Diceros bicornis minor: one gene and its partners. The protein of the gene in region 2 purifies or fractionates together with the protein of the main gene of each other region. This does not show direct contact. Links are inferred from orthologs where the notes say so. Each region holds a gene or a part of one and is shown on either strand. Other genes may lie near its edges.

The links.
Region 1: the proteins of HNRNPA2B1 (region 2) and HNRNPH3 fractionate together in Homo sapiens (co-fractionation; 3 studies listed by BioGRID and IntAct, with this or other methods). This does not show direct contact. The link is inferred for Diceros bicornis minor from reciprocal best matches to the Homo sapiens genes HNRNPA2B1 and HNRNPH3.
Region 3: the proteins of HNRNPA2B1 (region 2) and HSF1 purify together in Homo sapiens (affinity purification with mass spectrometry; 3 studies listed by BioGRID, with this or other methods). This does not show direct contact. The link is inferred for Diceros bicornis minor from reciprocal best matches to the Homo sapiens genes HNRNPA2B1 and HSF1.

The regions. Positions count from the first base shown.
Region 1 is NC_080745.1:37,596,774-37,604,614, forward strand, and holds the start of HNRNPH3 (heterogeneous nuclear ribonucleoprotein H3), read right to left. Parts: upstream 3,066-7,841; 5' UTR 2,996-3,065; intron 2,770-2,995; exon of another isoform or gene 2,600-2,769; intron 2,138-2,599; exon of another isoform or gene 1,750-2,137; intron 1-1,749.
Region 2 is NC_080742.1:51,188,808-51,196,562, reverse strand, and holds the start of HNRNPA2B1 (heterogeneous nuclear ribonucleoproteins A2/B1), read left to right. Parts: upstream 1-4,735; 5' UTR 4,736-4,921; coding exon 4,922-4,927; intron 4,928-7,755. Other genes in the region: CBX3 (chromobox protein homolog 3), read right to left, coding at 2,415-2,438. UniProt on the Homo sapiens protein: Heterogeneous nuclear ribonucleoprotein (hnRNP) that associates with nascent pre-mRNAs, packaging them into hnRNP particles.
Region 3 is NC_080760.1:56,887,911-56,895,734, forward strand, and holds the start of HSF1 (heat shock factor protein 1), read left to right. Parts: upstream 1-4,796; 5' UTR 4,797-4,932; coding exon 4,933-5,049; intron 5,050-7,824. Other genes in the region: ribosome biogenesis protein BOP1, read right to left, coding at 2,644-2,850, 4,404-4,796. UniProt on the Homo sapiens protein: Functions as a stress-inducible and DNA-binding transcription factor that plays a central role in the transcriptional activation of the heat shock response (HSR), leading to the expression of a large class of molecular chaperones, heat shock proteins (HSPs), that protect cells from cellular insult damage.

The DNA of each region.
Region 1 (7,841 bases), on a different chromosome or scaffold from region 2:
TAATTTTAAATTGGGGGTAAAGTTAACCAGATTTGGAAGACAGACTAATTTATAGGGTGACTCTCCATCCCATGCATATGGAGAGTACACAATAAAAAGAGACAGCCACACTCGATTATCTCTTCAAAACTCCAAATTTGAGTCTAAAAGAATTCTACTTACTCTAAAGGCATACAAAAAGACAATCAGCTCTAATACCTTAATGGAGCTGTCTCAGAAACTAGAGTTTGCTAATTATTCAGGATAATCCATCTCAACCTTTCTTTGCAACAGTGTCACGGCTAATCACAATTCTGCTTTAAGAATTCCAAGTGTTACCATCAATTAAAAATACCAGCAGTTGAAATATTAGGATAACTTCAGTCAGTTTTACATGAGATTTTACACATAATTTCCTAAACATTATGCTAAGTGAAAAAACCCAGTCACAAAAGACCACACATTGTATGATTTTAAGAGTGAGGTTCATGGTATGTGAATTATCTCTAAGCTGTTACTAAAAAGCATCTAACAAAGAGCCAAATGAAATATAAAATTCCTTTATAACATAGAGGCATATACTACCTTCCAAAGTATAATACATAAAGTAAGGGTTTGATGCATCAATTTTTAAGTGGTTGCCCACGGGTCCTAAAAAATGAGAATGAACTGCAAGTTTCAGCACGAATGTGGTGATATAATTAAAATGGAAATTTTATATAATTCCCCCTTTCCAATGTGCTTATTCCTTAATTTTAAGTTTAAAAAAACCGTAGACACACCACTAATATCTAAAGGAGGCGAGATCTCTAAAATGATTACCAATGAGTTATTTTCTAGAACAAAGTTACCACCTACTGCAGTTCAGCCACTTGTTTACCAAAATAAGAACACCAAAAAAAAAAAACAAACCCATGGTTACTAAAAATGCAAAGGCAATTAGATGGATTTCCAAATTATAATGCAGATGAAGACGGCAGAAAAAAAAGTTTCTACGGTAATCCAACTAGGAAAGCTGTTATATCATATACCACTTTATAGGAAACTCTGGGCTGTCTTTTCAAAGTCCACTAAAATCATAGAATGTCTTCAACAGGAAAGTTTTTTGTTTTTAAAGCTGGAAAAGTAGACAACAGACTTCTCGTAAAGATTCATATGCGTTACTGGAAACTCTTATTTTCAGGCCTTGCATGTCTTTTGTACCGTCTTCGGTGAAAATTACCGACCCAGTTCTCTTAAGGACTAAAAATCACATCACACGACTGGGCTTCCCGTTTGTCTTTCTGTTCAGGAGGCTTCTTTTCTCGGTCAAAATATTACTACAGTCCTACGCTAAATAAAAAACATGCTTAGCTACCAAAATAAACTAACTGTATTTCGAAGTATTTTACTTCTACAGCCTTAATGCCAGAAGAATCTTTGCCCAAAATACAACTCTTGGAGATTTAATGTTGAAAGTCAATAGCTTAATTCCTACACACACACACACACACACACACACACTTTTGCCATCTCTGGTTGTGTTCTAACAACTTAAATTCTAATCCAATATATGCCAAACCACACAAAACTATTACTAAACCACCCCATCCCCGCCCAAAAAGACGTATCATGGTTCACTGGGCCCAGACGACCTGTCTGAAATATGCCCATTTCACATTCCTATCTGATAAGTCACCCGCTTTTTTGCTTACAAAACAATTACCCACAAAGTCTTTATACGGTTAAGATAAGCGTGAAAAAAAAACCCTTTGGAAAATAAGTACGTACTCTTTTCGAAGTTCCAAATCTGGAATATAAGGGCCGGCTAAGCGTCCTTTATTCCTCCCCGCAGACTTTCCGTTTATCTAGCTGCCCTAGAGACCAGAGAGCTAGGGAGAGTCCCCCCCTTCCCTCCCTCCCGGTCCGGCAGCCAAGCCTGGCTTAAAAACCTTGGCCACCGGGCGGCGGAATTACAAAGGAGCCCGTCTGCCTCCTTTGTCCTGGATTTGGGAGTTGAGCGCCTTCGTCGCCATTGGCCTTCCTCCCCCAGCTCCAGCCTCTCTCATCTTGGGAATCTGCGTCAGAAGTCACTCGCAGTCCCGCCAGCCCAGGTAGCCCTGCCGAGACTGCGGAGGAAGGGAGGCCGCGGTGGGAGGCCAGGCCCATCCGGCGCCATTTCCATCGGGAGCGCGCCCGCCAGCCCAGAGCCTCCCCCCGCCCCAAGCGCCCAACCTTTCCCTGCTCGCTTCATTCCCCATCCATATCCCTTCCGGGGCTCTCTGACCACCCCCGGGCCTTCTAAATCAGTTTTCGGAAGCTGATGGGTGAAAAAGCAGAAAGAGGGGAGGGCGGGAAGCCGAGGTGGCCGCGCCACCGTACCCAAAATGGCGGAGGCCAAACCAGCGGGGAAACAGGGGAAATGCTGGGTGACTCCCACTTCGGGTCTCGGCTTCGTCCACTGAATTCCACGTGAGCAAGTCCTCCCGCCGGCAGGCCGCCCTCCTTGAAGTGGGAGATCGCCTGGGAGGCGCAGGCTGGCCGCCTCCGAGCGGCGACCTCCACACTTCCCCCCCACCCCACCCCCTCCCAGTCTCGGCCTTCTCCCGATTCCGCTCTCGAAACCACCAGCCCAACCTACCCCCTTTTACTTCAGATACCCTGTCGGGCGACAGTAACGCCGACTCCGCTGCTCACGGGGTTTGGTCGTGAGAAGGGAGAAGTCGCTCGTCTCGTGTAGCGCTCCCCACAACGGTTCTCCCAACCGTCTCCAGCCGTGGCAACCACTAAGGGAGCTGCGCAGCAGAGCGACTGGCTGGGGGGGATGGGAGAGAGCGAGCGAGAAGGAGGGGGTGGAGCGAGAGCGGCGAAGACCGCCGGCCCTTCTCTCGCGAGACAAGAGACTCGGTCCCGCCTTGGAGCGGGAAGCACGAAGTGCGCTTGCGCGCTGGTGGGTTGACCACTTGAGGGAGAGGTGGAGAGAAACCGAGGCTGCCCCGGTTAGCGAAAGGCGGGTAACTCGGCCTTTCTTGCTTACCGTAAAACCATCTAATTCTCAGGGCTCACTGTTCTGCCCTCTCGGGGAGAATGTGAAGTGGCAGCAGTAGTCCTGCGAGCGTGTAGTTGACGGAACCGTGGTGTCGCGATCTGGAAAAGTTCTGTGGTACTCTGCCCCACCAAGAACAAATTCCGTAAAGGCCCCGCCCTTAGCCCAGCGTCACCTGCGTGGAAAGGGCACCACGTGGTTCGGCCGCCTAACGCGAGGACGGCTTCTTTTGTCCACCATGTTTGTATTATGCAGTAAAAATGGGCGTGTTTCGGTGCTGCGAAGATACAAAAGTGTCCGCCAGGCCCAGATTTCAGCTCTGGGGCAGGGGCTTCTCCTTCCCTCGGCCGTGGCGCTGCCGACAACCCCACCCACCGTGGGTCTGGTGGGGGGGCTTGATGGATTTCCTTCCTACGGCCTTTCGCTACAAATTGCTCCTCGCTTTCTCCTTTCGCTTTAGCGTTCTCTCTTGCATCTTCCACTTTGTAACCTTAGTAACCAGTCGGCCGTCAGCGGCCGACTTTGGGTTATTTTCTAAATAGAGCTTTGCATCCTTGAAAACTGTGCGTACAAGTGACACCTAATAAATACTTTTTGGTTGTGCTGTCATACCACCAAGGTTCCTAGTGACATCTTATGGACTTTTTTTAATTATTGAAAAAAACGCAAGCCGAATTTTTGTGGGAAGGTGCAGGGCAGTGTTGCTAAAGAGATCCATGTAAGTTAAAGAGCAAACGTAGGAACGTACGTGAAGTGAAGGAGAAAAGGAAGTGAGTTTCAGCACAGAGATGTTCCTGTAGCTTGGAAATGTGGACGTAACTAGTTTGTAGACCTTCAGTATCCACCCAAAGACTTTGGATTTTATACTACAGACATTTGGAAGCCCGTCTAGGGTGGGATGAGAGGGCGCATGGGGTGTTAGCAGTGGAGAAGCTTGAATAATTTTTTCTCCCTGTGAGATCTGCAGTGTGTAGGGTGGACACAGGAGGTCATTTACCTTCTTATAATGGAAACTTCCATTTCATGGCTTTAATTCATCCTAACATGCTTAAGACAAGTGTGGGACACTAAGAATTGGCTAGGTCATAGAGCCCTACTGCGTTTCTTGAGCCCACTCTCTCAAAATACCCCTCAGAGAAAGGGAGAAGGAACAGTGTTGTCTTCATTACAAGAGAGAAAAAAACAAAACCAGGATAATGTACTAAAAATAGCTCACATTTATTGAGAGCTTGCTTGAGCTAGGTGCTGTGCTCAATTCACTGACTCTACAATCCTGAAAGATAATTATTATCCCCATTTTACAGATGAGGTGCTTGAGTTCTAAAGAAGTGAAAAAGGTTGCCCAAGGTCACACACCTAGTGGCAGAAGCTAGGATTTGAACCCAAATGGTTTTACGCCAGGGGCCAGGGTTTTAAAGTACTGTGGACCTTCTCAGGGTTACAAATAATTTAACCATGCATTAAGGGAACAAAAATCATTTTTGGCAAATTGAAGTTACTTCACCTAACGAACACTGGAGTTACAATGTCAGGAGACCTGCAGTTAACAGTTGATTGGCTGGAGACTTTTGAACAGGCCTTAAACTTGATGTCCTCGTGTCACTGACCCTGTGAGCCCCCCCCCCGTTTCTTTTTTTTAATAATTTCTGTATTAGCAAGACTCCAAGCTCCCACACTTCAAATGGAGTTCTTCTGTGGGTTCAAGTTACATCACTACTTGATCCCTTCAGTCTTCCAACCTGATTTGGTAGATGGAATTCTGTAATCTCTTTGACCCTTGCCTGAGTTCAAGCAATCTATTTACTGCCTGATTGAGTTTGGCATTCTTTCCGCATACTTACTTTGTATGGTTATGGGCCACACTCCTAAAATCATCCTAATGACTTTTCAGCACCAAATTGCAATGTTTTCTTGCCACAATTTCTTTGTATTGGGCACTCCGCTGTTTGCCAGTGTTAATGCTTAGGAAGGACTTGACATTAGTACGTGCATTCATTTTGCTTTTTTATTATTACAGCAAGTAAGAAGTTTTGAGTTAAAAAAAAGTACACCATATGGGGGTAAACCTAATTTTTATTTGGCTTCCTATTTTACTACTTTTCTCTGAAAAAAAAAATATATCTATCAACTATTCTCATTTTCAAGTTGAATCCTGTGAGTAAGGCTTGGTGAGATTGGCTCACCGCTGCTCCAGTGATCCCTACAGAATTGTTTCCCGATTGATCTCTGTGGAATTGTTTCCATAGAGATGGTTAGAACTAAGGGCTCCCAGCTGCTTTTGGGATTTTTTTCCCTTTGTCTTCCTTTTGGTCATTTCAGTGCTCTCTTATTAGCATAGAGATCAGAGGGACCCTAGAGAGGATCTTGTTAGAGGACATAATGAGAGAAAAGATGAAAAAGGAGAAGGAAATAGAAGTACCCATACCACCCAGAGGAAAACAAGGTAATGAACATGTGGTTATGTATTACACCATCAGGATGAAGAGGAGAGGAAAATTCCATGCAGAGCCTGAGAGAAAGAGATATTAAAAGAGATTGCGCTCTTCGGTAGGAGGGAAGGTACATTAACTGAAAATTGGTTAAGGTAGTTGTTCACATAGCCCCAATGGCATTCTAAAATAACTTAAAAATTGGATTATCATAATCTTTTGCCTATTTGAAAAGCAAATAAGCTAAAAATATAACAAAACCCACAAATAAGTTTCTAGGAGTGTGTCTAGTTAAGGTAGTTTTTTTTTTTTTTTGTGAGGAGATCAGCCCTGTGCTAACATCTGCCAATCCTCGTCTTTTTTTTTGCTGAGGAAGACTAGCCCTGGGCTAACATCAGTGCCCATCTTCCTCCACTTTATATGGGACGCCGCCACAGCATGGCTTGCTAAGCAGTGCGTCGGTGCGCGCCCGGGATCCGAACCGGCAAACCCCAGGCCACTGCAGCGGAGCATGCATACTCAACCGCTTGCGCCACCGGGCTAGCCCTAGTTAAGGTAGTTAATGTGTTTTGAACACTAAATCTGTCTTACCAAGGTTTTGTGAAATGGGGCCGGCCCCGTGGCTTAGCAGTTAAGTGCACGCACTCCGCTACTGGTGGCCCGGGTTCAGATCCCGGGCGCGCACTGACACACTGCTTCTCCGGCCATGCTGAGGCGGCGTCCCACATACAGCAACTAAAAGGATGTACAACTATGACCTACAACTATCTACTGGGGCTTTGGGGGAAAAAGAGGAGGAAGATTGGCAATAGATGTTAGCTGAGAGCCAGTCTTCCTCAGCAAAAAGAGGAGGATTGGCATGGATGTTAGCTCAGGGCTGATCTTCCTCACACACAGAAAAAGGTTTTGTGAAATGCTTATTCTTTGATTTATGTCATATATATCTACTGTCTTTAGAAAGCAGTGATCTTCCTTGTCATGATTCAAAATTATTTCTCAAGACAAGGCTTAATTACACAGTTTACATTCTTGATACTTTTTTGTTTAAGTCACCTAAGTGTTCTTCTGGGACTAGGGAAACCAAAAGGTCTCACCTAATTTTAATAATTATATGCTAAGTAAACAAATGGAAACTTAACAGGAAGAAAGCGCCTAACACATTCATTCTCTAATTTTTGAAAATATTGAACGTTTTTCCTGTTCCAGTGGATTGCTGAGAAGACCAGGGAAGACAGCTACAAAAGATAGCTACTTAAAGAATTTAAAGCAAACTATTATACTGCTCTTAATGTGTCATAAGCACATTAATAGCTTAGAAAACACAACACAGATGATAGAGTAACAGACTGTTTCCCCCTGCGCATGATTTTAAGCTTCTGAGTGGTAGATAAAAATATAGGTTTCATTATATATGTACCTATGCCTCTCAGTGTACAAACAATGATGGTTTATACTGGGGGTGGAGGCACTTTAAATAACTAATTTTCACTACAGTCTAGCACAGTTATTATTTTATGGACCAAGAAATAGAAGAATCAGAAGATAAAATAATGCTCCCGAGTTTACAAAAAAGTCAATGGCAAAACTTAGAATTGTCTTCATAATCAGGAAATCAGACAGACCTAGGTTCCAACCCCAGTTTTGGCACTTACCTACCAGCTGTTTGATTCTGAGGCAGTTAACTTTTCTGAAGCTCAGTTTCTTAATCTCTAAAGTAGGTTGTTAGATTGTTATATAGGGTAGAGATTAGTAGTTGAAATAATAGTTCTAGTCCCATCCTGTTTCATGTATGTTTGTCATGTCATTGTTAATAAATGTGGTTCATTCCTGTTATACTCATTTAAACAGTGACTTTGATAGAATTTTTTTGGTAAGTACAGTGTCTAAGCACTGTGTTGGGGGGCAAAAAGTTATTCCAGGGAAATCTGTGAACTCATATAAATACCAAGTATTATCTATGGACAGAATAAGTAATATTTCACATGTAATATACTGTTGTTTTTCCAATATAGGCAGATGCTGTTGCTATCAATAAAATGGAAATTGATTTGAGGGCATTCCTGAATCCCTAGTAGGTCAGTATATATGTTTCAGTTCACAAAAAATAAAGTGCATAAAGTGAAGCTCTCCCTGACTTTCAGGAGCATATACATACATTCCATTAAATAGATGAAGTATATTAAACTATAGCAAGTGATCAGATAGGAAAAACACAGAGTGTTTGGGGTGCACAGGATAGGACCATTAGCACAACCTGGGGCTTCAGGGAACACTTTCTGAAGGAGATAACTCCTGAGCTGAAAGGTAGAGGATAAGTAAAATTCAGCTGGGCTATGAAAGATAGAAAAGGCATTGAAGACCACGGACACAGTAAGATCCAGGCATGGAGGTAGGAAATCACTTGGTAG
Region 2 (7,755 bases):
ATAGAAAAAAGGGAACTGCAGAATGAAAACACAGTTCAGAATCCTGATATCAATTGCAGGGTCAACCAAGAAGACCTTTTTAATAAGTTAAAAAGGACAGATTATTTTTCCATAATCTCTGTAGACAGTATTACTGACCACTTGGGACAAAGCTATAATGCTGTCACTTCAAGAGGCCAAAATGCTGGATTATTTTTATTCTCTGTGAAAAAAATCCTGCTTTCTTCATTTCTCAAGAGAAAGAGTCTAAACTGGTAGCCAACGAAATTCACTTCAAACAAGTTTTTAAGTTTCTTTCTTGCATAACACTATTTGAGAGAAGCAGACCAGGCTCAACCTGCCATTTTCTAATAACTCAGATTTGTTACAAGGATTGAAAATGAATAAATGTTTTGAAAACAGAAATGGTTAATTAGGAGAGACTAAGGGGGTAAAACCTCAAATGTTATGTTCGTTTTAAAATTATTTCATCTTAAAGCTGCTATTAAAAAAAAATCCTAATTGCCTAGTTACTAAAGTCATCCCTCAATATAGCATATAAGTTAACAGCAATGCCTCAAGATTGCAAAAGGACATTAAAACCATGTAGTCATTTAGAGGTACACATACACACAAAGAAATAAAAATCTTCTGGAATTAAAAAAAATGCAGCAAACATCTGATTTTGTTGGATACCATCTCCAAGTCAGGCCTTACAATTTCCATTAATCAAGATACTTGGGTATTGCACCCCGTCGGATAGCTTTCTGCTTCTGTTCAGTAAAAGCAAGTAAGAATGGTAGTAGGAAGAGTGGAGAAAAATTGGTGTAGACAAAAGCTTATTAGATACTGATCCTAGATGAAAACCAGAACAGCTATGTCCATGAAGGTAAGAGGTTAACAGAATAAAGAGGATGACAAAAATAAACACAGAAAATGAAAAGGACAAAAATACTAAGAAAAAAATTGGCATAAAAAATGAAGTATTTACTACTATGGCACTCAAGCTAATTTCAAGGGCTCATTTGTTTCTTTTCAAAAGAAAATTCATTCACTTTACCATTTAAATTATAGCACACATCTCACAACACTATTTTAAAATGAAAAGTCAAATAAAAACTTTTAAAGTTGTCAATATGTGATCCCCTACAAAAGAATATTTAAATACCAGTAAGTTACAGACATTGAAAACTATCAAATTATATGCAAAAGCAACTTAATTTTAATGGAATCATCTATTTGCTTGCTTTCTGTATCTATACTCATCCTCAAAGCCTCATGAACAGCTAGTTCCCTTCCCCACCAATACTTGAACACAGGTGTTCATAAAATCAATTTATTATCTCTACTTTCCTTTACTGATTATGGAATTTGAAGGACACTTCCATCCTGAGGGGGCACAGAACATGCTAAGAGCTTTTCCCACTGATGGCTTTGATGGAACCATTTGTGCCACAGAGACTCACCACATAGGCTTTATAGTTGTTTTTGTTTCCCAGGAAATTTGACTTAAATGGGCAAACCTATGATGGCACAAATTAAAATCACCAACTTGCCCTTTTAATTGTGAAACCCAACAGACAATACAAACTAAAACCAAATGTTTTGCTTTATTTAGATATTAACACTCACCTTTATATGCTTTCGATTATTATTAACGCAGTGTTAGAATTAAATACTGTGGGAACCGTAACTGAATTTCGTGTTTTTTTTAAACTTCTAACTTGACATGGCTTTTACACATTTGCAGAACTTGTAATGAAGCCTGAGAATGCAAACTTTGGATTTAAGAAACTGCTAGAGACCAAAAATTGCTTGAAAGATCGAGTCTTTTCTCCTTCCTGGACATACATGATTGTGTTCATTTTGTGTATTACCAGAACACTGCAATTATTTAATTTTAAGGCCCGTCTGACTTTAGAATAAGCAAGTCTGAAATATGACAACGTGATGAAAGTAATTTGGAAGATTCACTTTCTGCCCCAATCTAAGTGTACAAGGTGCCTGTTTTTGACACTGGGCAATACTGAAAATACTTGCTTTCTCTAGAATTCAGTACAGTGATTTAGAAAATATTATGCCAATCAACAAGACTTTACTGCTTTCTCTATGCTTGTAACATATTCTTTCATGTTACATAAATTTGTGCATTTGTATTTCAAGATAAAAATACTCATTAAAATTCACATTGCGCTATCCTCCCAAGATTAGGTTTCTTTCAATGAATTAAAACACTATCCAGGCAAGTCAGTAAATATCTCAATGTAACGACTTCGTTTTGGCCCCTAATTCTCCCCATAACAACACTGGGGAGAGAAGGGACTGGGGAATACATATAGATGTAAATTTCTGAACCACAGAGACGCAAAGTTATAATTTTTGGGGAAAAAATTTTGAGTTAGATCCTTACATATTTCAGGTTTTCATTAACTTACCAATGTAGTTTTATTGGAGGCCATTTTTTATTGCAGACTTGAAGAGCTATTACTAGAAAAACGCATGACAGTTAAAAGGAAGTTTGCACGACACAAAAAAGGTAGCTAAATACAAGTTTTGTTTGGATTCCAACCCCCACCTATGTAGCCCATATTATCAAACATGTATACAAATCCATACAAAAGCAGATTTAAGCTCCTGCGTAAATTATTAGAGAGAATATGCCTGAGAATATATCAGTGTTCTAACAGCGAGTCTAGAAAACCTTACTGAGGTCATTGGGACTTGAAACAGCTTCGCTGGCCGAAAAACAGTAGACAAATATGTTTTTTCAATTCAAATGCCATTTATACATATTCAGTATTCTTTACAAAATGGCCAAATATTTTGGTTCAAAATCGGACAATTTCCTAAACTACCGTGAATTTTTCGTCGAGACCTCTTAACAGTCCAAAGAGTCGCCTATGTAATCCCAACTTGGTTTCTTCTTAGAAACCCTCCCTCTTCCCAATCACTAGTTAAAACACTAAAAGAAAAACACACTGAGATGCTTCAGGCCCATTTCGTGCCACTTTTGAAAACAAGTCACCTCTTCGGTACGTCCATATGCTCCCAAGCCCCAGGCCCCACCCTGCTGAATGCGGCCTAAACGCCGGGCGCCCGCCCCCCACCCGGGAGCGCGGGCCTCGTGGTCAGCGCATCCGCGGGGAGAAACAAAGGCCGCGCGCGGGGGCTCAAGGGCACTGCGCCACGAGGCTCGCGCCTCGCCCCCGGCGGCGGCCACATAACGGAGCGCCCGCCGCAGCCTCCAGGAAGCTGGCCGCGCGGATGCGGGAGAATGCACCGCCCTCCCTGGAGGCCCCAGTCGCCGGCCAAGCCCGGGAGGGGGAGGAGGGCCCCTCATCGTGATCCGGGATGGGGGAGGGGAGAGGAAAATGCGCTTTGTCTAGAAATAAGGCGACTGTCGCCACGACTCTCCACCTTCTCGGGGACAGTCTCGTCCCCCACTTAACTACAGGCGTCGGCGCAGCGCCAGGCCCGCCGCGGGGTCTCCGCTCGCCTCTCCGCTCCTTCCCACCAGCTCCCGACTCGGGGTCGGACGGGAAGCAGGGGCCAGGGGGTGGGGAGCTGGGGCGCATGTGGTATGTTAAGCGCCACCACCGAGTGAGAACTAGAGAGAAAGAAAGACACCGACTTCACCGCCTCCGAGCTGCTCCGCGTCCCGGGTCTGCAGCGTCTCCGGCCCTGCGCGCCTCCAGCTCCAGCCACATCCGAGGGGGAGGGGGCTGGGGAGCAGCGCGCGGGGCGGCCGCCGGGGGGGGGGGAGGGTGGCACCGCCCACGCCGGGCGGCCGCCAGGGGCGGGGCAGGGGGCGCGCGCCCGGCGGGGGGGAGGGGCCGCGCGGCGCCGCGCCCGCCGGGAGCCCGGGCCCAGGGGGCGGGGGGGAGAGCGGTGGCGACAGCGGCACTTACCGTTCGCGGCGTGGCGCCTGGTGGTCCCCGGAGGGGAGGAAGAGGGAAGGAGGGGCGAGGACGCTGTCCAGAGTCCTCTCGGCGGAGGCGTTTTTGCTTCGCAGCAGCAGCCGCTGGCGCCAAAACCGGACTCCGCCCACTTCCTCGCCCCTGGGGGTGCGTGCCTCCAAACGTTGGGGGTGAGAGGATGAAGATAAATTTGGGTGGGGGGAATCGGACACTGAGAAAGAGTGCCCCTTTCGGACCACCCTCTGCAAAGACCTTTTCTGAACCCGAGGGGTCAGTCCCAAAGACGTCGGCCAGGGTTAGGTTGGTGGAGGGTGAAGTGTAATTTGTTGACTACAGTCGCTTCGGGTGTTTCCGGAAGGGGCCGAGTCAGTCCTCGGCGCAGGGGAAGGGGGTGGGGGAGGGAAAACGCAGGGGGGAGGCTACAAAGATTTTTAAGGCGGGAGAACGGGGGCGAGGGGGGGCGGATTATCAACGGCGTTGCTGCAGGGACCACCTCCTGGGCTGAGGGGGCTGGACCTGAGAGCTGCGGATTAAGCTCCTCCCGGCAGCGTTCATTTCAAACTGCGCGACCGTTTCTTACCTGCCCTGCGCTAAGGCGGGGGCTGGACCCAATTCGGAGAGAGAGAAATACGCAGGACTCGCGCCTTCCGCAATTCACTGAGCCCATTTACGCAAGTGACGTCAAGCACCACCGCTGGCCGCAAGGGGGGGAGGAGTACGTACTTGGCGTAAGGAGGAGGTAGAGCGTTCCCGCCATTGGCGGCGGTTAGGGCGTTTACGCAACGGCCTGACGTAGGGGAAGACGCGTTAGTCGGGGGGAAGGTTCTAGAAAAGCGGCGGCAGCGGCTCTAGCGGCAGTAGCAGCAACGCCGGGTCTTGTGCGGAGGTGCTCTTAGCGGTGTTGTTTCTCGAGCAGCGGCAGTTCTCACTACAGCGCCAGGACGAGTCCGGTCCGTGTTCGTCCGCGGAGATCTCTCTCATCTCGCTCGGCTGCGGGAAATCGGGCTGAAGCGACTGAGTCCGCGATGGAGGTAACGGGTTTGAAATCAATGAGTTATTGGAAAGGGCATGGCGAGGCCGTTGGCGCCTCGGTGGAAGTCGGCCCCCCCGCCTCCGACGGAGAGCGGCAGTGAAATCGGGCCACTTAAGAAGCGGTTGGTCGCAGGATATTTTCGAAGAGGGCTGTTAGCGGAGGCCTGATTGTACAGCACCTTCCCCACCCTCAGCCTCCCGGCGCCATTTCCCTTTGCTGGGGGTGGGGGATGGGGAACTTCCACATGGCGGACGCGGCCCGCGGTAGTGAAAGCGGAGCGCCGAGGCGGCAATTCTTACTCCCCTCGTGAAGCACGCCGATTGGGGGGCCCCGGCGGCCCCCGTTTGAGCGTTTCGGCGAGTTTCGGGTCCGCGTGAGCGAGGCTGCGGAGCTTCCCCTCCCCCTCTCTCCCGGGAACCGGATTTGGCGGCCGCCATTTTCATTTCTCTCCTTCCTCGCAGCATTTTTCTTTTCGACCTCTGAATTCTGCTAGTTTGATTCTTTTACCGAAGAAGAGAAGTGGTTAACTAATTTTCTTTCTTCTTGGGCTGTTTTCATGCCGTTTCGAGGTGGATTCCGAGGGTTTTGTGAGCTTGGATCTTTAAAGTCCTGCGCACCTCGTTAGAGGCTCCCTCCCTTCCCCTCGATGAAATGGCGCCATTGCGTCCAGAAGCCGCAGCGAGCAGCGGGCGGGGGGGTTCCTCCGGGGCCCGGGCGCGCGGCGTCCGAGGAGGTAAAGCGAGCGAGGGTGGGGGGCCGGTTTCAAGCGAGCCATCGTACAAAGAAGACATTTTGTTTTCCAGTCCTGTTTCTTTGAGTAACGGTTTTGTTTGGGCCTGCAGTGATGAAAAAGACAGTTGAATCGCAGGAAACTTGAGAAATAAGTCAGAATTTGGAACCGTCAGATTACTACCGACTGCGTGGGTGGCAGCGGGGAAGGAGGTGGGGGGGACTTTTTCCTGAAGGATTCCCTTAGAATGGTAGAATTTATTCCTTTTTTAAATACTATTTTTTCTGGGAAATGTGATCTTTACTGGATAAGACTACGGATCCTTGTAAATGATGTTAGAAATTTTGAGGAGAGTGAAGAAAAAAATTGAGTTTATTCTTAGTGGTACTTCGGTTAAAACATGGCTCAGTCCTTCAGTGCGTGTATTGCTGTATACAGAACTGTGTTAGGCTAGGCCGCTCTGTATTTGAACTTTGTCACTTTTCTCATTTATGTTTGCAATCGTGGTTGATCATTACATTGATAAGCATAAGGTCTCAAGCGAAGGGGGTCTACCTGAGTATTTTCTTTGACCCTAAGCACGCTTAAAAAATAACTTTGTTTGTAATCGATAGTGGACATCGGGTAAGTTTGGAAAAAGCAGAGGTAAGTAATGAGTTTTTGCCTTTTGTTGGTGATGTGTAAAAATTGTTGTAGATGTGCTTTTTAAAATTTCCGTAATTTGGGTTTTAAAAGACGTGTTTACTGACAGTATTTGGTGTAAAGTGAAGAATCCAAATATCAATATGCCGTATAATTAACCATTTTGGTAGTTTTAAGTAAACATCTCGGGAGCTAGTTTAATAGTTTGTTAATCTTTTAAAATTTTTCAGAATCCTGAAAATAGTTAACTATGTAGGAAGAAAATCTGTAAATTGTTTCTTATCGCTGTATTTTTTGAGCTGTTGGGAGAATATCATGCGTTGAAGGAGAAACCTCCATAGAACTGTGGGTTGAGAGCTGTAATGCTATTTGCTGGGAATAAGTTATCGCCTGTTGTATTGAAAATTATATTTTACATTTTAATTTGTATTATACACTTACAGCAGATTGTCCTGGACGTTATGATTTATTGGGTTTCTGAATATTTTTAATTTTTTAACCTAGTCACCTGGAAATTATAATGATGCATTCTTTAACTGAGAGTCCCAAATACAGGGCTATTAATGCAACATAATTGCTTGCTGGTTTATAGGGATTAAAAAATTTCAGCCTAGCCTTTTTTCTTTTTTATTTGTGAAATTAGATGTAACTTGTGTAGTTTGCCAGGTGGCCACTAAGTTAAATACACTTGAGGTTTCGGGTTTTTTGGTAAATGAATTGAAGTGTAAATGATAGTTAAATATGTAACTACTGAATAGTCACAGTGGTCATTTAAACGTTTTTGTGGTTTTTGGGAGAAAATGATTACATTCATTGTATTTATGGTTATTGGTCCAATAATCGGATTGTTTCTGTACTGTCATTTAAATAACCAAACATGGGGGTGCCCACAAAAAGTCAGTTATGTTAAAACTTGAAGCTTTAGACACCAACGGTCATTAAAAAAGTCTGCCTTGGTCAGAAGAGAGGTAAATTTTAAGGATGTTTTGGAGCATATACTGAAGGTTTGAATTTTTTTCCCTAATCGAGAGTTGGTGTATGGGAAAGAATGATCTTTACCAGGGGGTTTTTTTTTTTTTGATGAGATGCATTAGAATCACCACCAGAGGGAGCAATGAGGGGAAAATGTCACTTTTCAGATATACTGAATCCAGAAGTAAATGGTAAACTATGAGTTATAAGTAAGGAACCAACAGTTTTTATGTTTAAAAAAAAGATTTCAACTGAGCTTTTAAAAGTTAACTTTAACTTCTCTGTGGGATATAGGATTGAATGCTAATTTTGATGAGAATCCTTTAACCCTTCAATGACCAGGGAGTAGATTTGCTTCTTTCTCTTCAGAAAGTATTTTTAAAAATAAGTGATAATAAATTTGTTTGAAATAATTTAATGTCAAGTAAATTTAGATCAAGCATTAATGACTTTGAAACTTGTGTAGTTCAGCTGAGGCAATT
Region 3 (7,824 bases), on a different chromosome or scaffold from region 2:
CCTACCGGGCTGCGTGATGGAAACGGGGCTCAGGTCACCCAGAGAGGGGCGTGAACGGGAGACGTGGAGGGAATACCCAGCTCAACCAGGCAGAAGGGCATGGACGGCTTTGGAGGAATGAGTAGAACAAAAGGGGAGATGTGGGGATTTCCACTAAGGAGCTGAGACTACCCCACTTCTGCAATTCACTCTCTTGCCTGGAGGAATTCAAACGCAGTAATGAGATTTAGATGCTTTAGAACAGAAAATATTCCAACAGGAGCCGACCATACCACTCTGTTAAAGTACAACAGCCAGAGACGTGAGGGCCCTGAGGCAGCAGTCCGGGGTGGCGGGTGGAAGGCAGAATCATGGCTTTGACTCATGTCCAGGACGGCCCACAGGAGACAGGGATGGGCCCTCAGAGCCCGGCCGTGACATGAAAGGAGGCAACACCTCACCGGCGGGAGTTGAGACCTCATGAAGTCCCGAAGCTGTCCCAGCACAGCACAGGAGGGAGGGGCCATGGTCCTGGCTTCAACTGAGGGGCAGCTCAGGCTGCTCCAGAGCACAGGCAGCCTCACCGCCCTCTGAGGACTGCCTCCACCCAGGTGGCCCGGGCCAGCTTCCCCAGACTGAGGCCTCAGAGGGCATCCCTGAAGGCAGAGGGCAGAGGGCAAAGGGCCAAGGGCTGACCCCGCCCTCTGGAGAAGGTGGGGCATTTACTCTCTCCTGGGCTGCAGCCTCAGTCCTCACTAAACAGGCCAGCAAGCAGACCCTAGATGGCAGAACTGCAAAGAATACCCAGCTATGTGGGCACAGAAACCTGAGCAAGAACCCAGATGGATGAGCATGTGCCCAGTGGCTCAGAGGGGTCAGAGCATGGCAGGTCCGGAGTGAGCACCCCTTCCACCAGCCTCCACCAGACAGCCTCTTGTACACATTATCTAGTTGACAGAATTTAAATAAAAAATTATTTTTATTGGGGCCGGCCTGGTGGCCTAGTGGTTGAGTTTGCACACTCCGCTTTGGTGGCCCAGGGTTTGCAGCTTTGGATCCCGGGCGCAGACCTACAAATACAAACCGCTTATCAAGCTGTGCTATGGCAGGCGTCCCATGTATAAAAATGGAGGAAGATGGGCACAGGTATTAGCTCAGTGCCAATCTTCCTCACCAAAAAAAATATATATATATATTTTTATTAAAAAAAGAATTATTTAATTTTTATTTTTATTTTATTTTTTTGGGTGAGGAAGATTGGCCCTGAGCCAACGTCTGTTGCCAATCTTGCTCTTTTTACTGAGGAAGACTGGCTCTGAGCCAACATCTGTGCCCATCTTTCTCTATTTTGTATGTGGGTCGCCTGCCACAGCATGGCTTGATGAGCGGTGTGTCGGTCTGCATTCCGGATTCGAACCAGTGAACCCCGGGCCGCTGAAGCAGAACACACAAACTTAACCACTATGCCACAAGGCTGGCCCCTATTTAATTTTTAAAAATTATTTTAAAAATTCTATTTATAAAAAAGGATAAAAATCCTTTTTTTTAAAGGAAATATTCAAATACTTAAATGTGTGTGGATGTTTAATTTTAAAAGAAGGGGAAAAAGATCCAGAAAGATGATTATTAACTGCGGTCACCAACTGGAACAAGTGCATGAGTGGGAACTTCCACCCTGTACTCAACGGTGTTGACGTAAAATTTAATTTTTTGTGGAGGAGGGTATATTTGACATTTCAAAAAGTTTAAAAAAGGGGGAAAAATAGTTTCCTGTAATCCTACAAACCACGGTCAACACAGTTAATGCATCATCTTCTCTCTGGGCACACCAGTGTTACAACAAAAGCTTGAATAGTGTAGAAGGTTTAAACTTGATTTTAAATCTTTTCTTCCTAGTAAACAGATCAAACAAGCACGGCCTTTTGGTTTCCATTATGGGAATAGACATCTGTATGAGGTAAGGTCATAACTTCCAGAACACCAGGGCCATTAGAAATATAAACACCTGTAGTTATAAACTTGTTTCTAGAACGTTCTAAATAACAAATGCCTTATTTTAGTTAAATTAAGCTTTGCTCTCATTTTTCTCACTTAAAACAAGAGCGGAGTGCGTCCTTCCCCATCATCACAGCAACAGATACGATGCCAAAGCCTCGACCACTGGGGCCCCTCGGGCTCCTGCCCACCCTGGGATCAGGCTGGGGTGGAATGGAGCTCCTGCTTTGCCCACCCCTTCACGTGTGTCCTGCGAGCCCCTCCAGGCAGTCCCCCACAAGCGAATCTCTACCTCAGGCTTTGCCCTAAGAAATCCACCCTACAACTGAATCTAGCAAAGTGGGCTGAGTCCCATGGAGAGGTGACATCAGAATCACTGGAGGGGGAGGACCAGGCATGTGGATTTTTGGAGTTCCTGTGAACAGAGCACTTAACTGCAGTTGAAAACCAGTGCCCTAGAGCTTGGAGCACCCCAGCTCCAAACAAGGTCTACCTAGCCCCAAATGTGCCCCAGGTACATCAGAGGAGACACAAGGGCCTTAGGGTTCCCAAGGAAACTTGAAGAAAGCAGTGTGGGGCAGCCCCCCAGAGAGCATAAGGCACAGCGGGCACCTTCCTTCCTGGCCACCTTCATCTAGAGGGAGAGCCCACTGGAGGCTCCTCACTCACCCACCGCACCTGCTGCCCAGTGGTCTTCTCCGTCCCGCCATGGTTCTCATCACTGCTGGCCCCATCCTCTTCCTCAGCTGCGGTGTCTGCGCTACTGTCACTGCCGGAATCTTCCAGGCCTGAGAACACACTCTCCTCACTGTCAGAGAGGCCAGAATTGCTGCCATCCCCGAGCGGAGAGGTCGGGAGGTCACAGAGGAGAGAGGGCTGCAAGGAGCACAGTGTTGATGACAGCCAGACCCCACAGCCCACCCACCAGCCTTGCCCACCAGGCACCATGCACTGACCCATAGGTCTGTGTTGCCAGCCTCCAAGGCCACAGCCCTCAGGTCACAAGCCTCCACCTCCACCAAAACCATCCACCCAACCCAGGCCTTCCTCACCATCCACCTCTGCCAACAGCACAGCTGCCTGCCCTTGGAAGGAACATTTAATTGCTAGCATCTCACAGGGGAAGGACTTTTCAAGAACAATGTCCCCTTCTTAGAGCTCGGTTCCATTGCATTACCAACACTTGCTCTCCATCCTCTGCACCCCGCCCTGGCATTCAAGGCCCCAGAGCTATGAGGGCAATAGGGCAGGGGCTGGGGCCAGGAGAGGACCAGAACCCCTGAGGGGCTTTTCCCACTTGAAGTAGAAGCCTCCATATCCAAGCAGACTAGGACCAACAATTGATCAGTAAATAGTAACAGTCGGTTCAAGAGTGATAAAAATGATGTAAGCTTTACTTAAAAACAAGAATACACCCATTCACCCCCTCGTAGGGTAGGACTAGAGCAGAGCTCTGCTGACTAGACACCATCACATCCCTAATTCTACAGGACACAACACAGTGGGCAGGCCCAGTGGTTGTCTTTTAAAAGTGGAACAAGAACTTGTAGACTTAGAAAGCATTTGAGTGCAGAATCCTACATTTCACTGTTTCTCAACAGTTTAAAAGTCTCTCACCTAACTGGACATCTGGCACTCACCAGTTATTCCACAGCACTCGACTTAGTTTTCATAGAAGCAACTCTGATATACACTCCCTCCTGCTGTTTATCTCCAATATCTAGTTAGCTACACAGCTGCAAGTGCTCCTGGTGAGCAGAGCCCAGTGGTGGAAGCAGGCAATCTTGGCGCCCAGACCTGCCTGCTGGCAGGGAGCAGCAAGAGGACAGGTCACAAGGCAAAGGGGCAGCCTGACAATCCAGCTAAGTGGAGTCCGCTGAGAGAGGCTCGACTGTACATGCCTTCTACGACCCAGATTTGATGACACCCCCACAACCGAGCTGGGGTTCAGCTGAACAGCAGGAGCGGCTACGAGTCCAGTCAAAAGGATGTGACTAACGCAGCAGGCACTGGGTTCTAGTCAAGCTTTCTTATTCTCATATTTTCATTAACTTTTACAGTGGATCTAACATACTAGCAGTGTATAAACATATAAGTATTTAATAAGGTGCAAGCTCAAATCTTCTTAATAGCAAGATGCATAACTTAGCTGCACAGGACACCAGCTCTCCTTCCTGTCTCTCCTGCGCAGACTGTTCTTCCGCCCCGCCCCCACTCCAGCCGCCTCTCGCACAGGGGGTGCTCTTTGCCCAGTAGGCCCCCCACAAGGCCACCTGCTCCAAAGGACAAGCGACCCTTTCTTCCTCTCATTCCCAGGCCCACCGCACGCTGGGCGGGCTTGCCGTGGGCCGAAGGGCCGAGAAGCCACCACGTGCAACCCCCGCCCCGCCGCCCTGCTCCCGCTCCAGCTCCGCGCAGCCCGCTGTCACCTCCTCCGGCGCCAGCGCCGGCTCCGGCTCTGGCAGCCGCTTCCCGGGCCGCGCCCTTCCCGCCGCCGCCGCCGCACACCCCGCAACCCGCGCGCCCGCCATGCTCCCCGGCCTGTCCCGACCCGCTCCGCCACTTCCGGCAGCGGCCCGGTCGCGTGGGCCTGGGGGCGGGGCTCGTGAGGTCAGAGGGTGCGGCCTGCCCACCCCGCCGGGTCTCATTGGTGGGGCGGGGCGGGGCCAGCACGCGCAGGCGCGTGGGCGGGGGCCAGCGGGGCGGGGCCAGCGGGGGCGGGGCGGGGAGCCAGGGGGAGCAGAGCCGGCGTGCGCGCGCCGGGGAGACGCGGGCGGGCGGCGCCGGCGGGAGCGCGCCCGTCGCAAGATGGCGGCGGCCATGCTGGGCCCCGGGGCTGTGTGTGCGCAGCGGGCGGCGGCGGCGGCGCAGCCCGAGCGGCAGGCGTGGCGGCGGTGCTAGCCGAGCCCTCGGCACATATTCGCGGTCGCCACCTCCGCCTCTCCCCGCCTTGCCGGTATGGATCTGTCCGTGGGCCCCGGCGCGGCGGGGCCCAGTAACGTCCCGGCCTTCCTGACCAAGCTGTGGACCCTCGTGAGCGACCCGGACACCGACGCGCTTATCTGCTGGAGCCCGGTGAGGGGCCGGGGCGGGACGCGCGGGGAGGAGCAGAGCCAGGCCCCCGCCTCGCCGGCCCGGGAGTGGGGGCGGGGAGTCCCGAGGGAGTGTTCGGAGGAAAAGCTTCCGAGGCCCGCTCTTCGTTGGCTCCTGCCCACGCCGTTTCTCTGGGGTGAGGAGGGAGGGCTCCTCCTTCTTTGGTCTCTTGCTAACTGCTGGACAACTGCGGAAGTGTGTCTGTCCTCAGAACAGCACCCAGTTTCGCTGGCGAACGTTGTGCCCAGGTGGCCCTCTGTGTCTTCTCAAATGAGTTACCAGGGTGGTGTGGTCGGCAGCTATGCGGGGAAAATCAGGACTTGGCGCATGAATCGGAGGGCGTTGCTCTAGTGCAAAAGGAAAGGGAGCGAAAGCAGAAAGTAAAACGTCATAAAGTTCAGGTTGACCTCGAACCCGTGTCCAAATACCAGAGCTGCGTTTCCCAAAAGCGGCTTTGTTTTTCATTCCTCACAGGGCGTCTTTATTCACGTCTCTGTCTCCAGTTGCCTGGCAGCAGGCTGGTTTACATGATCTGACCCTGCAAGACCGGACAGCTCCGGTTTGCAGAGGTAAATCAGAGACTGTGTCTGGAGTTGGAGACCAGAATCTGCTATTCACATCCTGGCTGTGACGTCGTGTCCGGGGAAGGCCGGAGCCGTCGCCCAGGGCTGGCAAATGGGTGGCCTAGAGAAAGGCCGCCATGGTCGTGCAGAGCTTCTGGGCACCTCCAAACATGCTTGAATCTCCTGAGGGCCAAAACTCCCGCTTTCTTAGACTCTGCTTACTAACTACTAAGTACTTCCCTTTCACACTCTTTAGCCATTAGGAACAAAAAAAAATGCAGCTTGCCCTGAGTTGTAGGCCAGGTTCTCTCAATCTTGGGTTGCCTGCTGAAGCTCTGCTCTGCCTGTAGAGCGTTTGGGAATAAAGAGTCTAGAAATCACACAGCCTTCTTATTGGAGACACTTTGTGTTGGTCCCAGTGACGTCTCCATGTGGGTATCCTCCGTTCCCCAGTGCCTGTTTCTTTAATGGAGGGCACAAGTCCCAAAGAGGGGCAGTGTGCTTTCCCACAGGCTGTCGTGTTACCACCATCCCCTTGTTCTAGACCTTGAACTTTCCTGACCAAAGGAAATGACCCCATGTTTCCGTCTTCGTTTAGCCTTCCTGTCCCCTCTCTTTCGTTCCCCTTAACTCGCAGGAAACACTCTTACTCAGTTCAGGGAGGGGCATCAGAGATCCTCTGGGATATTCCGAGCTTAATCCTACTAGATTGATCCTTCCTGCCCCTTAATTTTCTTGCTGTTTCTGCTGAAAGAGTGTGAGGCATGTGTGTGAAATGCCACCAGTGTACTCTCCAGGACCTGCAGCCTGTGTTCTGGGCAAGGCCTTCGAGCAGGAAAGTCGGATATGATCAGGCCTGTGACAGCCTCCACGCACAGTGGCCACACTGCTCATGAGCCCTGTTGGTGTGTTCTCCCTTGGGGGGATGGGGAGCTGGCTGGAGCTCAAGTATTTGATCCTACCTGGTCTGTACGCCGGTTGAGCAGGGTGTGATTGGTGCAGGACACAGCAGTGGGGGTGGCCCTCACAATGAGTACAGAAACAGCATTAGCTCAGCGGTGAAAGGAAGCCCTTTTCTGGTTGGGCAGGGGTTGTGGAGCTGCCCGGGCACAAGAAAGAAGGTGGTCCTGTGCCGGTGGCCTCGAGGATGCCCACACAAGCCCCACGGCCTTTGTTAAAAAAGTCCACACAGGGACTTGTGCAGACTCACAGCCCAGAGTCCAGCTCTCAGAGGCCTTGGAAGACTGATGTCCGTGCTCTTGGTGCTGTAATTTTCTCACCCACTATTCTGCCAAAAGAACCCCTCTGCGTTTGACCCAGGGGACCAGGGGAAGTCAGAGGTGCGGTGGCTGACTCTCAAGGCTGATTGGGGAGGGCGCTTCCAGACCCAGAAACTCTGGCCAGTAGGGCCAGGTTCAGACAGCGTTGTGCTTCCTCTGCCCAGCCTGAGGGCCACGCCAACAAGTCACTGCCCCTAGAGAGTCGTGTTGGTTTTCCCACCCCCTAAACCCTTCTCCAATTAAAGATGCACTCGGTATGGTGTTTCAGCTCAATAAGCAAGGGCCTTCAGAGATGTAGCTGATCCCCGGACAGGTCCTGCAGGACACTGCAGCTCCCACTGCTCACGGGAGGGAATTATGGTGACTGTGAGTGTGGCTTGGGGATGCGCCGCAGCTCTCCTGACCTATAGTCTGTGCTGTTTCCTCTGCCTCCCATGCCCGCTGGGACGCTCCATGAATTAGGCCTGCCTGGGTGAGGCCAGGAGGTGCCCAGGGGCACAGTTTAAGGAGGCACTTCTTTTTAAGCCCATCTGCACCTGGAGGCCCTGAGATTGAGGGCCTCCTTAAATTTTGGCGGTTAGCGCCTCTCTGGCCTCACTGTAGTCCCAGCCTGATCAGTGCAATTCTCTTCTCTTTGGGAGCAAGAATGACCCCAACAGGGTTGTGTGGGGGCTGGGGGAAATCCCAGAGACCTAGGAACTGGAGGTCACTGAGGCCAGGGCCCGTTCCAGGTGGCTGGTATGAGTGCTGGTGGTCAGAGGGTTACTCTGGAGCGGTTGGGTCTCTAGGTGGAGAGTTGGGGGCAGAGCAGTCCTGCAGTTAGGTTGCCACCTCCCTGTGAAACCACTGAGGAGTTGACCTGGTCACACCTGGGCCCTCAGAACTGGCCATGGACCTTTTCTGGAGGTCCCACG